2 linked regions of the Alligator mississippiensis genome follow. The protein of the gene in region 1 purifies or fractionates together with the protein of each later gene. This does not show direct contact. Links are inferred from orthologs where the notes say so. Each region holds a gene or a part of one and is shown in the gene's direction. Other genes may lie near its edges.

Region 1 (8,702 bases):
CTTCAGCTGCCAAGGCTTTTTCTTGTGCAGTAGCCAAGGTCAAATTTTGTTCAGAGAGTGGGCAACGTTGGATTGCTTCATCTTGAACCCCACAAATGAGATGGTCATGAAGCAGGCCATCCAGGAGATCACTAAACCCACAAAATTCGGCAAGGTGACAGAGCTCAGCCAGGCAATCTGCTATGCCTTCATTGGCCTTTTGGTCCCATTTAAAAAAAAAAAATGAAATCTCTGCAGGGTAACGGATGGCCTTGGGCAAAAATGTGCCTTTAGTAGAGCAATTACTTCAGCATAATACTTAGTGTTTAATAAGGCAGGCACTGTGAGGGAATGGACAATGGCAAATGTTTTGGCACCACAGACTGTCAGGAGGATTGCGCGCTTCTGTTCTGGGTTTTCCACTTCATTGGCTTCCAGGTAATAGGATAGCCTTTCCACATAAGAGTCCCAAGAAGCGTGCTGGCTCACATCAAATTCTTCTATATGCCCCAGTGTAGCCATCCTAACTAACATCAGCCGTAATAGAGAGAAAAGAAGAAGAAGAAAAAAAATTCCCTCTGATCACAAAACACAGCCTGGTCTCAGAATGTCATTCCACAATCTAGGGGTGTGTTTTCAGCAAAGGATCCCATCCTTGTCGCCAGAAGATATGTTGTGAGTTCATCAACAACACTCTGGACGCTCCTGGGTTGGACTAACAGTTATTCATTATTATAATTCTCTGGAATCATATCCAGGGTGGATCTTAACAATTGCCTTCAGTAGATGTATGCAGAACTTATACTTGCTCTGCCTCTGACTTGACCCAGTCCAGCCCTGTGGAGGGAGAGAAAACAAGAATGCCCCTGGCTTCTCATGGCAGAGACAATGGAGTCCCCAGTGCTGCAAGAACTGGGGAAAACAAAGGAAACAACCCTGCAGTGCTGAACATGAGGGCTTTGGCCTTCAAGGGGCAGTAAAAGTGTAGCAGAAAGCCCCCTTTTCCTCTTGCCTGCATTTGCCCTCCCCACTTTGGATATGTTTCTCTTTTTCTACCTTTTCTTCCTTCCTCTCTCTTTCACTTTAAGATAAGGAATTGTGTTTTAAAATTTGTGTGTGTGCATTTTGTATCTCCCCTTGTAGTTTGGTATTTTTATCTATTTGTGTGCCATGGCATTTGTAGCTTATATTTTATACTCCTCACCTTTCAACTTTCAACTAAATGTGTTTTAGTAAGTTATACATTGTAACAATGTTAACAAGGGTAGGAATCAAACTGCTCTTCCTTGTATCAGGCTGGCCCCTGAAAGAGCAGTGAATCAGTGATTGAATGTGTAACATGATTGAATGTGTAACATGGAAGCAGGCAGCAATTAACACCTGGAAGCTGCAGATCAACCAAGGGAAGAACTCAATAGAAGACAATGTAACAACCGGGAACTCTCCCTGGCCTGAGTTAATCAATGCCAGAGACAAACTTTTGGGCTGAATATCTCCACATCGACCACTCCCAGAGCCCTATTCAAAATTCATCAACGGACTCCCAAACCTGCATGTACATGCAGACGACCCCTGGGGCTGACAGATGCCATCCAGTAGCCACCGAGGGGGGGGAAGTCCCACGAGGGTCAACAACCCCTGGATTGGGCAAACCTGAAAACTGGGGAGTCACCAAAGTCTGCCAGGGACAGATAAAAGGCAGTGAAAAGTGACCCTCAGTGGCGCCCTCTTGATCTCCAACTCGACCAGACCTGTCCAGCCAGAAGGACCAGCCGGCAACCCCCTTCTGCAAGATAACACCACACTGAAAGAAGCCTCAACGACAGACTCCAGCGCTTGTAGGATAGGTATACCTGACTCTGTAGCCTGCTACTGTGTGTGTGTATGTGTGCATGTGTGTATGTGGGGACCAGCCCCAAGGTTTATGTTTACAGTGTTTCAATCCGCCTAATAAACTAGAATTTTAAGGATCCTGAGTTGGACATTTGTAGCCAACACAAGGAAAACACAATAAGACACAATACTTAGGTTGAAATCTCTTTCTATCAAGGCACCTTGTAAAGGACAGTTTCCTATCTGTGTAACTTATGTTCATGTGAAAACTTGCACTTGCCTATACTACAAAGCATGTTGTTTATCAATCCCAAATGTTACTAAATGATCTGGATCATTCTGCAGAATGAATCTGCCCTGACTGTTTACCCCCCCCCCCCCCCAAATTTGGGTTTTTTTGTTAACATTACCTGTGATTATTTTTTTTATTTTCCTCTAAGTCATTGATGTGCGGGCCGGGAGCGGTCCGAGGCCCTCGGGGGCACGTGGTGGGCTGTGGCCAGCAGCCCTGGCACACGGGTCGGGGAATGCAGGCCAGCGGACTAGAATTAGGCATGGACGCTTAGCGGTTGATTAAAGATTATTTTACTTACACTGTAGATGGTCGCGGTGCAGGCAGGAAAACTTGCTTGAGTTGCAGTTACAGACAGGAAAGAAGAAAAGCGGACAAGAGTTCCTTCCATGCGAACTCTAGCCCAATCCGGTTGAAGGCTCTAAAAACGCAAGCCCATCGTGTCAACCGAAGAAAACAACTCGGAGAAGAGCTCTGGATACACTCACATGAAGTTTGCTAGGCTCCGTGGAACTTGCGCGCAGGGAAGGGGTTCATCGAGGGATCGTTTGGTGACGGGGAGAGGCCAGAGGTTGATCAGACCCCTATAGCCTTCTTAAGGCACGCGCTGGGTTCGATAGGTTCCGCAGCGCTTAGAGTTCTTCACAAGATGTGAAGCCCTCCTCCTCCAGATGGTTGTGGAGTCCTCCCTTGCGGGGCTGTCCTCGGAGTTCTCCAACTTGGGCGGAAACCGCTCAAGCCTCTTATACGGCTAGCAAGCCAATCGCTAGCCGCCACGTGGGAATAATTTAGAACTGGCCAATAGTGGGACACAAATTTGCATGCAGGTGGTGGGAACTCCTTTGCACTGTGCATTTCTATTTGCAACTGAGAAATGCACCCTGCAAAGAAAGCTCCGAGTGGCAGGAAATAATTTAGCAGTGCCGAAGCGCACACAAACAAAATCACACCCTTGGGTTGTGACAATTGATATGTTAAATAGCATTGGGATAAGAACAAATGCTTGTGGCCTCCTATTTAAAATACTTAAATTAGATGGTGATTCCCCATTTACAATTACCTTTTGAGGCTTCTTGGTTTAGACCTAAGGTGTCATACCTGTGGCCCATAGGCTGGGTCCTGCTCACAGAGCTCATGCGATCCATAGGTCTCCTAGTGAGGCTGGGAATTTGGGGACTGGGTTGGCAGGCATGGGGCCCATCATTGAGATCTGGGATAGGGGACTCCATACAGGATGTGTATTGGCCAAAGTGGCAAGTGATGGCAGCATTAACCCCTACCCTCTCTGATGCCGCTAGTCCCACTCCCACCACCACCTGGCCCAACCCCCAAGGATCCCTTGTAACCCTAATTTGGTCCAGAGAGCTGGGTGAATTTGATACCCTTAGTGTAGCTAATATATGCTAACACTGATTCTTCAGTCAGAATATTGTGCTATACAAAGGTGGGTATCTTACAGATGTTTGTATTGACCCTATTGCCTGCCTTGACCAATTTAGAAACTCCCCCAAGTTTGCTCATTTGATTTTGAAACTTGTGTAGGGGTCAGGAAGAAATTTTACCCTATGGTCAGACTGGCACAGACTGTAGAGGGTTTTACCTTCTTCTTTAGCAGGGGGCATGGCCCCTCTATCTGAGATCTTGGGTGTATGTATATGAACAACGTGTTACAGAAGCAGGACACTGGCTGCCGTGGCCCCCTTACTTTACTTGGGGCAAGGCTGGGTGTTAGGTCTTGTATTGTGTCAGGACTGACAGTAGTTTTACTAAGAGTTTAGATTACTGATTTGTAGAGGATGTTTTGGATAAGGGTAATTCTGCCTCAAGCAGGGGCCTGGATTAGATGTGACTTGTCTGCCATGGGCCCCCTACTTTACCTGTGGCAAGGCCAGGTGTTAGGTTTTGTGTTGTGTCAGGATTGACAGTAGTTTTACAAAGAGTTTAGATTTTGGATTTGTAAAGGATGATTTGGAAGGGGGTGGGAGCGTCCTGCCTCAGGCGGGGACTGGATTTGATGTGACCTCTGCAGGTCCCTTCCAGCATGATTTCTCTCTGATTTTATGAAACAGTGAAGGGTGAGGTGGTGAAATCAAGGGTGGGGCTCAGCTTTCCTGGCCCTTTCCTGTCTGGCAGTAACACCAAGGAAAAGCTGTGGGTACTAGGGTGGCAGTGACCCCCTCCCTGACTCTGGGCTTCACATCTGATCCTCTAACACCCACCTTTGTCATTTACCTTTGGAAAGGTGAAGCAAAGGGCATCTCTCTCCAGAGTACCTGCCTACGGGCGTGGGGGTCTCCAGAGGGAGCTCTGCCAGCTGCAGGGACACGGGGCTGGGACTACAGGGGCAGCCTGGGCTGCTAGCGCCTGGCAAGGCGAGGCAGCTGTCCCATGCCCCAGGCGCCGCATGTCCAGACCCCTTGCAGGACAGGGCATGCAGCAGGTCATACCACTGAGCACAGTTGCCAGGTGTACAAATAATTATGTCTGTACAATAACTTCAGCCCTTGAACAATCAATAACAGTAAAAGTGTTCAAAATGTATGATAATAGTTGAGGCAGATAATTGACGCAGCATCTGCAAAACCCAAGTCACTCTCAGAGCGTCTTAACCAACTTTTGAGCTTGCTGTCAGCCTCAAAACAAATGTTTCAGCTTGGATGCCCCATTTCCCACTCACTGGGAGGGGCAGTGAGCAATAGCAAGTAAATAAGAGTTATTTGCAGAGTTATTTGCATATTTTTCCAGCAAACACATAATTTCGAGCTTCCAAGGCGATCATTTCATCTGGAAGCCCTGCCAACGCTGCCACCAACCACCACTCCGTCCCAGTCCCGCACGCGCGGGACAGAGTGACGCGTCTGCGCCTGCGCACCCAGGCAGCAGCGGCGGCGGCGGCGGCCGCTCAGGTGCCCCCAGTCACGTGACATGGGGCGATGGCGGCTCTCGCGACGCCCTCAGCGAGGCTGGGCGCATGCGCAGAACCGTTGCCGCCCCTGCCGCCGCCGCTGGCCTCGGCGGGGCTCTATGGGGAAAACATGGCTCCTTTCCCCGAGGAGGTGGATGTTTTCACGGCCCCGCACTGGCGGATGAAGCAGCTGGTCGGCCTCTACTGCGATAAGGTACCGCGTGCGCGCCGGGAGCTGCCGCCCTGCCCCGGCCTGGGCGGGCCAGCGGGACGATTTACCGAGTGCGCAGCTGTCAGCGCTTCCCCCTTCACCTCGTGGGCTCGTCCCCCCCCTGCTCCCAGCGGTGGGCTCGTCCCCCCCCTTCTACCTGCGGCAGACGCGCGTCCCCGCCCCACACCCCGGGGGCGCAGGCCCCGCCCCTCCGTGGGGGGCGGGGGTGGGCGGGCGTGGGCAGCGCCCCGCACCTGGAAACCCCCGAGTGGGGCCTGGCTGCCAGGGGCGCCTCATTCCTCTGAGCAGCGTGGCCAGGTCTTCAATAGGACATTATGCTCCTGGAAGCTCAACATGATCGTGTTTGCTAAAAAACTATTGCCCAGTGGAAAAATAGGCAAATACGTCTGCAAAGAAGCAGCCGCCTTATTTCCTTGACACCTGACTGTCAGCCATCGCGGAGTGATGGAGACCTGGGTGCTCAGAGTTGAAGCATTTCTTTATTTTGAGGCAGGCAGTGATGAGAGAGTGCTGGCAGCAAACCTGAAAGTCAAGTTAGGACTGACTCCCTGAGAGCAGCTTGGTCTTTACAGGTGCTGCATCAATGAGCTGCTTCAAAAATCATGCTATGCTTTGAAGGGTGTCCAGGTTGTAGCGGTATTGGTCTAGAGGAAAAAGCAATCGGGGCTCGTGGACAGAAGTGATATCTTTGATTAGACAAACAAGGTTTTCTCAGCAAAATTTCTTTAATTGCAAGCGTTCAGGCACAAACACCCTTCATCAGGCATCAGAGAAAAGACTGTAAAAGTTCTCCTGGATAGAAATGGAAGTTCATATTTCAGAGGATTTCATGGAGGCGTCCGTAGTACATTTTGAATGATTTTGCTCTTATTGATCATACGTTATGCTAAGGTTGAAGTTATTGTACAGATATGATACTTACTATATACTTGGCAACACTGCCTCCAAGGGGCAGGGACTTCCTCAGGCCTCTTGACTGCTGTTTGGGCATGTGGGCCGGAGCCCACCCAGCAGAGCTGTGGGCCCCCTTGAGGATGGGGCCGCTAAGGTCTTATCACTCATTTTTTGGGGACAACTCAAAGACAAAACAGGTGGGAGTGAGGATCCTGGGGTCGGAACAAGTGCACCAAGGCGAGCACCGAGCAGAGCATGCCGAACACCACCCGCTGGCCCACAGATGAGTCCACCAAGCCAATGGATGCTCTCCTATGAAACTGCCTTGAGACGGGAATGGACCAGGGATAGGAAAGCAGACCTAAACCTTTTTTTCTGGTTAGATATATTTATAGCTTGGTTGGGGCCAGGGGGAGGTTGACCAGGTCTTTTTGTCACCTTCAGTCACATGGACCTAGGCCCACCAAGTCCCACTTGCCACAGGTGATATCTTTTATTGGCCTCCCTTGGATGGATAAGCTACAGGAAAGGTGAAATTTGATTCCTTGGGACAAAACTAATGAAAAAAGGGACAGGAGTGGAGGTCAAAAGTTCAAAACAATGCCAAGGGAGGCACTGAGCAGAGCACACGGGACAGCACCCACTGGCCCTCAGATGAGTCAAAGGAGCCAACGGAGGCTGCCCAGCGATACTCTGCTCAGAGACAGGAACGAAGTAGGGCAAGGAGAGTGGCTCAGCAGTCCCTGGGGATCCTCCCGGCCAAAGCCTTCCTGGTCAGATACATGGCCAGCTTGGTCAGGGCCAGGAGGAGGTTGACCAGGAGGTCCTGGGACTTGATGGGGCCATGGACAGGGAGTCTCTAAATGAAAGGTGCGGAGAGTAGTGCAGCCAGAGCCTCAGCAGGAGGGGGTGACCAGTGTTTCTTTAGGTGGCCTGTGTTCCTGGGCCCCCTGTGTATTTGGGGCATGCTGATCCTAACCAACCTAGCCATCTACATGACCAGGAAGGAGGCTGTGGCTGGGAAGACCCCTGAGAGCTATGGGGCTCTTTTCCTGATCTCTGGGCTCGTGTCACTGGGCAGCATCTGTTGGCTCCTTGGACTTGTTTGAGGGCCAGTGGACGCTGTCTAGTGGCTCTGCTTGGTGTTCCTGCTTGGCACACTAGTTATTAACCTGTGACCTCCACTCCTGTCCTTGTTTTCATCATTATTTGTCCCAGGTATTCAGTAACACATCATTAGTGGTTTCTAGTGCTAAAGGGGGCTGATAGTTTCCTTGGTGGGCCTGAGCCTGTGACTCTTCTTGACATGTTAAAATTCCTGTATATTTGGGACTTGCTGATCCTAGCCAAGTTAGCCATCTACTTGACCAGGAAGGAGGCTCTGGCTGGGAGGCCCCTGGGGGCTGCGGGGCTGTTTACCTGATCTCTGGGCTTAATTTCACTGGGTAGCATCCACTGGCTCCTTGGACTTGTTCGAGGGCCAGTGGGAGCTGTCAGCTCTATTTGGTGTCTCTCCTTGGAGCATTTGTTTTAAACCTGTGACCTCACTCCCTTTAGTTGTCCCCCAAACTCAGTTGATGCATACCTAATAGATGTCTGTAATAACGGAGGGGGCTAATTGTTGCTGTCTGGCTTTAAGACCCAAGTTCCCCTTATGCATCATATAGGCCTGTGTAGTTGGGATAAAATGAGACCAGCTTTCAACTGCAATATGTTCTTCCTCAGGTCTGTCTGGCATCTGGGAGCTGGTCTCACTGTCCCAACCACAAAATTTCTGCTGGTCTCACTGTCCCAACCATTGGTCTCACTGTCCCAACCACAAAAGTCCCATAAAAGAGATCAGCCTAAGAAATCCTAATTGTTCACATAATTTCTAGACCATCACAGCTACAGCATTGCTTTTACACTGTTGTTTACTTTTATCTCATCCAAAGATTTGGCCTAATCATTTGGGATGTGTTAAAGTAGATATTGAGCTGGTTGGATAGGAATATTGGGGGAGGGGTCATTTTAATACTGACAGAACTCTGTTATAGTTTGTGCATTTACTTTCTCATTTTCAAACAATAAACTCTTTCGCTAATGCATATGAAGTGGAAATTTGTATCCAAGCATTAGAAGAAATAGCAGGTGTGTAGGATTGTATCGCTTTTCCTGCTATAGGTCTATTTACGTCCTTTGTACTTGAGGTCAGTTTTATTAGCTATGTAGCAGAAAAGTTTCTAGCTTCTCTGAAGTGTCTTGAGTTTTGTCCTTGAGTGATCTCAGTTCTTAATTAGATCAGGTTGGGTTTCCATTTATGCTGCAACCATAATCAGCCAAATCCAAATTCAAAGCTACCTTTAATTACCTTTTTTACATTTAGGTAAGAATTCTTGTGGGTGATATCTTTTTATTGAACCAACTATATGTTTGGTATAGACATAGACCTGTGTCTGTACTAGTGGTTCTTAACTTTTTTAGACTCAAGGCACCCCTAGGAAAATGCCAGCTTTCAGTTTTCACCCTTTTTTGATTATAGAAAAATAAGAGCATTTTTTTCTGTTGCAAAGAACTCACAAAGACCA
Region 2 (7,615 bases), on another chromosome or scaffold:
ACTTCACTAAGCACACTGCAAGGGAACCGGGGATAGATCACAAGACTTCCTACAAGTTCCAAAAAGCACAGTGTGGAAAAGTGTGGCAGTTATGACATGAAACCACCAACACCCACCCCCCACCAACAACATGAAGTGGGGAAGGGCAGATCACATGACATGCTCACGGAAAACTGCACTGAGCACATAGATACCTACCAACAGTGACAATGCACATTCAGAAAGCACCTTGTGTATTTAAGTGTCATACAACAAAAGAAAGGGGTAAGCGTCCATGAATGGATTTCTCTAAATATTGTGAAATTATTACAAAAGCTTAAAACTATTACTTTGTTTATATATTTAGCCTCAGTCTTGAAAAAGGGCATGGACTTACTGGGACTTTGCACCTCTGGGAATCAAGGTGAACAATGCTAACTCGGTACAGAAACTGCCTGCTCTAAATTTCTCATGGCCCTTTAAGACTCCTGTTTCTCAGAGCACCATATGCCTATCTTTGGCCCTTGGCAAATGTTACACTTAAGATGCATTCAACCAGTTAATTATTAAAAGTGTAAACTGGCTACATGTTCAGAAGGGTAATGGCACAAAAAAAAACCAGCCACAAAATTAGTACACAGTAAAAGAATAACAACTTTGTGGCTGGTTTTCATGATGTCTTAAAATGAACATGTGGCTGAGTGGACTGCACCAGGGTCTCCAACTAGCTCCATATGGTCCCTCTGGGCCAGCTGATTGTCTGCTGGTTCTAGGATGGCACCAGGGTTCAAACCCCAGTACAGCCCTAATGCTGCTGACAATCAGCTGCTCAGTGGCAGGATCAGGACTGGGGCCGCTTGGTGCAGCCCTGATACTGCCAACCATCAGCCAATAGTTGTCTGGCAGGGATCACACTAAGGTTCAAGCCTGGTATGGCTTTAATCCATCTGAGAATTATCTGATTGTCAACTGCTCCAGGGATTGTAGCAAGGCTCAAATTGGGCCCCAAAGCCAGCCAGGCACCCTTGCAATGCAGGGGGAGCCTGGGCTCAGGATCCTGGACTCCCCCTGCACTGGCAAGTAGGGTGTGATTGGGATATGATCCCCAATCCCAAATTCATCCCTCTGAAGGAGGCGTAACTGTTGGGATTGGGGATCAGATCCTATTGTCCTTTTAAGGGAATGTATGTCAGCAGCCTCAACCTCTCTGAAGCCAGGAGAAGCGAGGCAGTTTCGAGCTGCGTTAGAAGCCTGGCCACTGACAGCATTAGTCAGTCTCAAGAATTAAGGTTAGAGGGGGACAAGTACTTTACCAAGTAGACAGTGGAATCAAAGCATTCCTATTTACGTAGGCATCTGATTCACTCAGCTGATATACAGAGAAATGGTGTTTGTAAGCAAAAGGAAAAAAAAAACAGATCAGTGTTAGTGTTGTGCTATGTATTTAAGTAATTTATACATTTACTCAGCATGTGTAAGAAGTGGAGTATACAGAAAGAAAATGTTCATAAAAATACACTTCAGAATTCTTTTGCAGCAAGGCATAGTTTTTTGAAATGTGCTTAACTTTTTAAAAACACATTGAGTATGGATATGTACATTTTCCCACACTTCCATTAGATCCTCTAGTTCAAATCCATTGTCTCTCTTTTTTTTTTCTTTTTTTTTTTTTTACAAAGAGGCTTATGGTGTCATTGCAAGTAGACAGAATCCAGTCAAGACCACCAGGTGATTGCATTTGCCACAAGTGTTCATGGTCCAGGAAATATGCAAGAAACAAGGGGTTTCTGTTGGTAATACTGTAGGGGCAATTGCCACCACTATACTTTAGAATGAACTCCTACAGAAACGTGGTAAAGGATAGAAACACCTAGTCAACAGGAGAGAACAGTTCCCAAAGAACTATCCCTCTATTGTGGTTTCCTCAGTCCTTGTACTAGAGGGAATCTACAAAATACCTTTAGAAAACAGGTCTGGGAACAAAAATTCTAAGCTGTTCTGACCCCTAAAAATTATGGACTAAGCAATAAATAAATAAATAAATAAATAAATAAGGCTTATTACAATTTACCTGCTCTCTGTTTCTTTCCTTTTGAACGATTTTCTTTTCCAAAATTAGGTTATGTAGTTCAATTGTGCGTCACTGGTTTTCTAGATATTTCTGATACCTTCTTTACTCTGGCTTTTGCAAACCTCTTCCACTTCCACCCCCAGCTTATGACCTCTCACCACTTCTTTAAGCGGCTGTTTTCACAGACATGCTGAAGTTAATGTTTTATCTCCTGTCTAGCACAGGCTATTGGGGTGTCTTTCCTAGTAGTAAAGAAGGGTACTTAGTAAACTGTTCAGTTGGTATAATAAAAGGTGTTACTAAAAACCCCCCTTGCTTCTCATATAACGCAAAGAAACGTTTCTTTACGTATCCAACTTTCCAACTAAAGCTTTAGTGCCTAGTCACACAACATGCTGTTTGCCCACATAAAGAGAGAGATTCAGTATCTCAGAAGAGATCCTAAGAAATCCAAATTAGGAGGCAGATTAAAAAGCCTAAGAAATAAAATTAGTTGGAAGAAAGTCTAAAATATTATTTCTACTACAGCCATGTCATAATTATGCTTAAAAAGGACATCTATCCATTTTTTATACTATTACTATGTTGCACTGTACTTTCTAGGTTACTGACTGGCCTCAATATCACTAAAACAACAAGTGCGTACACACATCGCAGGATCTGGCTTTAGTCTCAGGCAACAGATCTGCAACGTACACAGTTTTACCCCACAACCATGAAATGTTCTGAGGACGCTCCATTCAGTTTAATACTCGCTAGGAACCAAAAGGGACATCAACTCACTGGATAAGATTTTTTTTTTTTAAAAAGTGCAAGATAAAAAGTCTGCCATGCAGCAAGTCAAAGACTGCCCGTTACACACCAAGCGCCGAGCATGAAAAGGAGTTATAATTACGGAGGTTTATGACACACAGGTTACAAAAGACCGGGCAAAGTTTGCAGAGAGAAGAGAGAAACAAATTATACAACAAGCCACGCTCATGAACTGGGTTCAAGAAGAAAGGAACTGAAGGGGCAGAGGCTGGTTCGGAGATCCTTTGCAGCTGAATGAAAACACAACTGAATGGTTAAATCGAGTTGGGGCGACAAAGAGCCGTCCACACCACCAGTGCCTCGTGCCCCCGCTTTCAGACACAAACCGTTACCCCCCGTTTCTCCCACCCACGTTTCTGAGAAAGCTCCGGGGACCTCACACGATCATCCCCAAGACTGAGAAGATGCTGGTGCCCCCATTACTGCCCCATCCCCGCGCGCTCTCATACGAGGGGGCCGGCAGCGCGGGCAGGCGGGCTCCCCCGCACCAAACAAGACTCCCCTCCGTCCCACAACACCCGCTGTGTTGCAGGACCAGGACCCCGGCTCCGGGCACCTCAAAGCCCGGCCACGTGGGGAAGACCCTCGTGTGAAACAACGCACATCTGCCAGGTGCTACAACCCCCAGCGCACACCCACACGTGCGTGCACACCCCCATGTGCACACAGACACATACACGTACACGCACATGTGCACAGACATGTACATCCCCCCACACATGCACCCCCCCATATGCATACCCCCATGTGCATCCACACACGTGCGCAGACATGCACACCTCCATGTGCATACATACATATGCATATACATATGCGCATGCGCGCGCGCGCACACACTCTCTCACTCCCCCCCGCAGCCGTTACCCGAGGCCGCAGCGAGGCCGGCAGCGCAGAGCAGAGCCCCGAGCAGCCACATCCCGCTTCTGCCCCGGCCTCGCCCCGGGCCTCGCTCTGCGCCTCGCAGGCCCCGCCCCCGCTCTAGCCCCGCCCCCGCCGCGGCTGCCAAGGCGACGCGGGCCCCGAGCGGGCCGGAAGCGGTTATGCGCGGCCCCTCCCCTTCTGCCCGGCCCCCGGAAGTGGCGGGCGGGCGGCGGCGACCATGGTGGGGCATGGGCCGGGGCCGGCGCTGGAGAACGCCAACCCGCTCGTGTTCCGGCGCTCGGGCGAGCGGCCCGTGACGGCGCGGGAGGAGGACGATGACCTGCCCGACGCCATCGATGACCGCGAGATCTTCGATATCCTGCCGGGCCGGACGGGGGGCGGGGGCGGGGGCTGGGGGCGGGGCGGGGCGCCGCTACACCGCGTTTTCCTTGACCTGCTACATCTCATCCGCTCCATCAACGACCCCGAGCACCCGCTCACGCTGGAGGAGCTCAACGTGGTGGAGCAGGTGCGGGTGAAGGTGAGCGCGGCCCGCACGTGCTTCCTGCCGCCGGGATTTTGGGGGCTTGTATGTCCTGGCCGGGCGCGCAAGTCCGGGCCTGGGGGCACGTGCCCCCCCGAATCGTGCGCGGGGCGGCTGCCGCTATGCGCTGTGCTTTGAGGCCCGCTGCCCCGAGAGCTGCGCAGTGCCACACGCACCCGGCTAGGTGCACTAGGTTGAAGCACTAGGATAATCGTGATGGGGGGGCAGCAGGGCAGGCCCTACGAGGAGAGGCTACGGGACCTGAACCTGTTCAGCCTCTGCAAGAGAAGGCTGAGAGGGGATCTAGTTGCTGTCTATAAACTTACTGGGGGGAGGACTAGAGGGGAATGGGTGAGACCCTGTTCCTCCAAGCACCTCCCGGAGTAACAAGGAATAACGGCCACAAGTTGTTGGAGAGTAGGTTCAGACTAAACATCAGGAGGCGCTGCTTCACTGTCAGAGCGGCCAGGATCTGGAACCAGCTTCCAAGGGAAGTGGTGCTGGCTCCTACCCTGGGGGTCTTTAAAAGGAGGCTTGATAACAACCTAGCTGGGGTCATATGAGCCCAGTATTCATTCCTGCCCAGGGCAGGGGGTCGGACTTGATGATCTGCTCAGGTCCCTATGACCCTACGTCTATAAATCTAAATTGCTAGTCTCAACTAGTGGAAAAGTCAGTACATTTTGTACATAGCAAATAATTTGTTTTTCAACAGGTGAATGATGCTGAAAGCACAGTTGCAGTGGAGTTTACTCCCACAATTCCTCACTGTAGTATGGCAACATTAATTGGCTTGTCAATAAAAGTAAAGTTGATCAGATCGCTACCTGAAAGGTTTAAGGTGAGTAATAACAGCAGCCTTGACAGGAGAAGGAAGAACATTAAAGAAAAGAAACTCTTTAAGGCTTCTCATTCCCTTTTGCTATGAAACAAGGAAAATACTCCAGGAAACTGATTAAATTACAAGCAGGCACAGTTATCAGTCTGATTCTTAGAATAAATTAGACTGAATGGGATCTGTGGTGAGAAATAGTATATAACATTTAGTGTTAGTGATCCTTGGTGGAAGGGAGATTATCCTCTTTTTGTAAAAGGGTAGTCTGAGGGTAAGGAAGAAAGTTTTCTACCATGACCAGTCCAAAAGGGGAGTTTACAACCAAAGTAGGATTAAAATATAGGAGTTTCCAATTAATGGTTTTAGGATCAGATGGCTGCACCATATCCCTATCCTAATGAAAGCTTATGCTGCTTTGAATATTGTGGAGGAGGGTCTGGCAGGAGATGGTAACTTGCCAAGGACTATGTTTTCTTGTTTCATTATGAAATTGTTTTGGTGGAGTATTAATGAGATGTCTCTGGACTAATACAGGGGAAAATAGTTTGACAAAACTACTTTAAGTAGCACAGCTAGAATTTATTTTTAAACATTTTTAAAGACTTTCTTCCCATTGTCTTCCCAACTTATTATAATATTTGAAACAAAGAAGAAACTGACCGGGAGAGGGAGAGGGACCATGGAACTTACCAAAGCCTAAGTATTGTCAGATTTGAAAAGTAAACTCTTAAATTGCTTTAATACATGTAGTTGCATGTGATACCAGCGAGTGTGTAGGCATGAGTGTGAAGCTGACAAACAACCCTGATGGGTTTTTTTGAGTGGGACTATAATACTAGATGCTGCTTTCTGAACTGCTGAACTAAAGCGTTTTTACTTTGACCTCACTTCACATCTGAGCACCAACCTAGTGCAAGTTAACAGTCTTATAAATAACTGGATTACATTTCATTTTACCTAGGTTGATGTTCACATAACGCCGGGAACGCACATCTCTGAGCATGCAGGTGAGCTTTTCCCCAGTGCTAAGATATATAAAAAGTGTTCTGCAAAGGTATTTCATTGTTTATAAACCTTGGAAATTAGAGAGATTAGATCTGAAGGTCACTGAGTGCAAGAGAGCAAACTAGAAGTCAGGGAAGAGTGTTACAGGATTCCACAACCCTCAGCCCAGAATCCATTAAATTCAGCAAAATGGATTGGGATGGTAGCTGAGGAGATTCAGCAAGAAACAAAGGGGTTGACATTTAGATTCTGGTCCCACAATGTGTTTCAGGCAGTTAAACCTACACAAAGCTATAGTGGATGAACTAGGGTTGTGTGTGGCACTGAGGTCCAATCATCTTGGAAAAAAGTGATGCTTAACTGCTAAGCACAATTCTGCACGCATTCAGCACTACCAAATTGTGAAAAACATGGGGCCCTGCCTACCGTAGCAACAGCCTGAGGAAGAGTCAGCTTGTATGTAAAACACTAACAATAGGTTGCCGTGCTGAGGTACCCTGACCAAGTGTTGTGGGACTCTTTCCTTACAGTAAACAAACAGCTTGCTGACAAAGAGCGAGTAGCTGCCGCTTTGGAGAATTCTCATTTGTTGGAAGTGGTGAACCAGTGTTTATCTGCTCGATCTTAACTGCCTGATAAGAAGCTCTGCTTTTCTGATATGGTGGGCTAACTTTGTAAATAAACAGTGCTGCTAGTATTTAGTTGGATATGTATCTATAAGCAAAATAAAGCTATTCTAATTTTGATTTTTATATAAGTGTTCTAGTACTCTTCCAAGAGTTAACCTATGGAAATTAACTTAAGAGTGATAGATAGCGTGTCCAAAATACTGTTAATGTAATATTACAGTTTTATTTTGTCAGAAGAGGATTTTAATATTTATAATATTTAATTCAGGAACAGCAACACAAATGTTTCCCCTCACAGTACAAAACAAATCATAAAATAAAGACAAATTTCCACATACCTTGGCCACGGCCCTCACTGTCTTAAACCAAGAATTATTTATATTCTGGATTTGGGAATGTATTGTGCACACTGAGTAATGGTTTTGGTCTCTGTGTTCTTGGCACATGAAGACAGGCATTTTCACTTGTTGTTTTGCTCATATTAAACTTCAGAAGTGGAGTTTTTTTACAGTTCACATTTGCAGACAAATTTGCAGGGTTTTGGGATGCTCATACAGCAATAAACATGCACTTTAAAAAAACTAGCCTATTTTCTTAAAGTAATTTTATATGCATGGTTTTATGGAGCTCTCCTGTAGTTGGTACATCTAATTTGTCATAAAATGTTAATCTGAATTACTTGGATTTTGTTGACAAAAAAGCCTGAGTGACAAACTTACAAAATGCTTCCTGTTTTGAAGCCTGATGCTGATGTGCTATCAGAAACGAAATAGCAAGTGATCTGAAGAGGCTCTGCATTCATTACAACTCAAGGAAGGGACAAATGTGCCTTCAAGCCAGTTCTGGTTCGACTTTGCTGCAACATCTTACTCTCTACC

Evidence for each region. The genes of interacting proteins can lie anywhere in the genome.
Region 2: the proteins of FBXL5 (region 1) and CIAO2B purify together in Homo sapiens (affinity purification with mass spectrometry; 3 studies listed by BioGRID and IntAct, counting the BioPlex papers as one, with this or other methods). This does not show direct contact. The link is inferred for Alligator mississippiensis from reciprocal best matches to the Homo sapiens genes FBXL5 and CIAO2B.

Annotation. Positions count from the first base shown.
Region 1 is NC_081825.1:32,953,270-32,961,971, reverse strand, and holds the start of FBXL5 (F-box/LRR-repeat protein 5), read left to right. Parts: upstream 1-5,074; 5' UTR 5,075-5,139; coding exon 5,140-5,223; intron 5,224-8,702.
Region 2 is NC_081833.1:62,366,464-62,374,078, forward strand, and holds the start of CIAO2B (cytosolic iron-sulfur assembly component 2B), read left to right. Parts: upstream 1-3,908; 5' UTR 3,909-3,962; coding exon 3,963-4,098; intron 4,099-4,185; coding exon 4,186-4,265; intron 4,266-4,983; coding exon 4,984-5,109; intron 5,110-6,064; coding exon 6,065-6,110; intron 6,111-6,638; coding exon 6,639-6,736; 3' UTR 6,737-6,769; intron 6,770-7,615. Other genes in the region: CES2 (cocaine esterase), read right to left, coding at 3,728-3,779.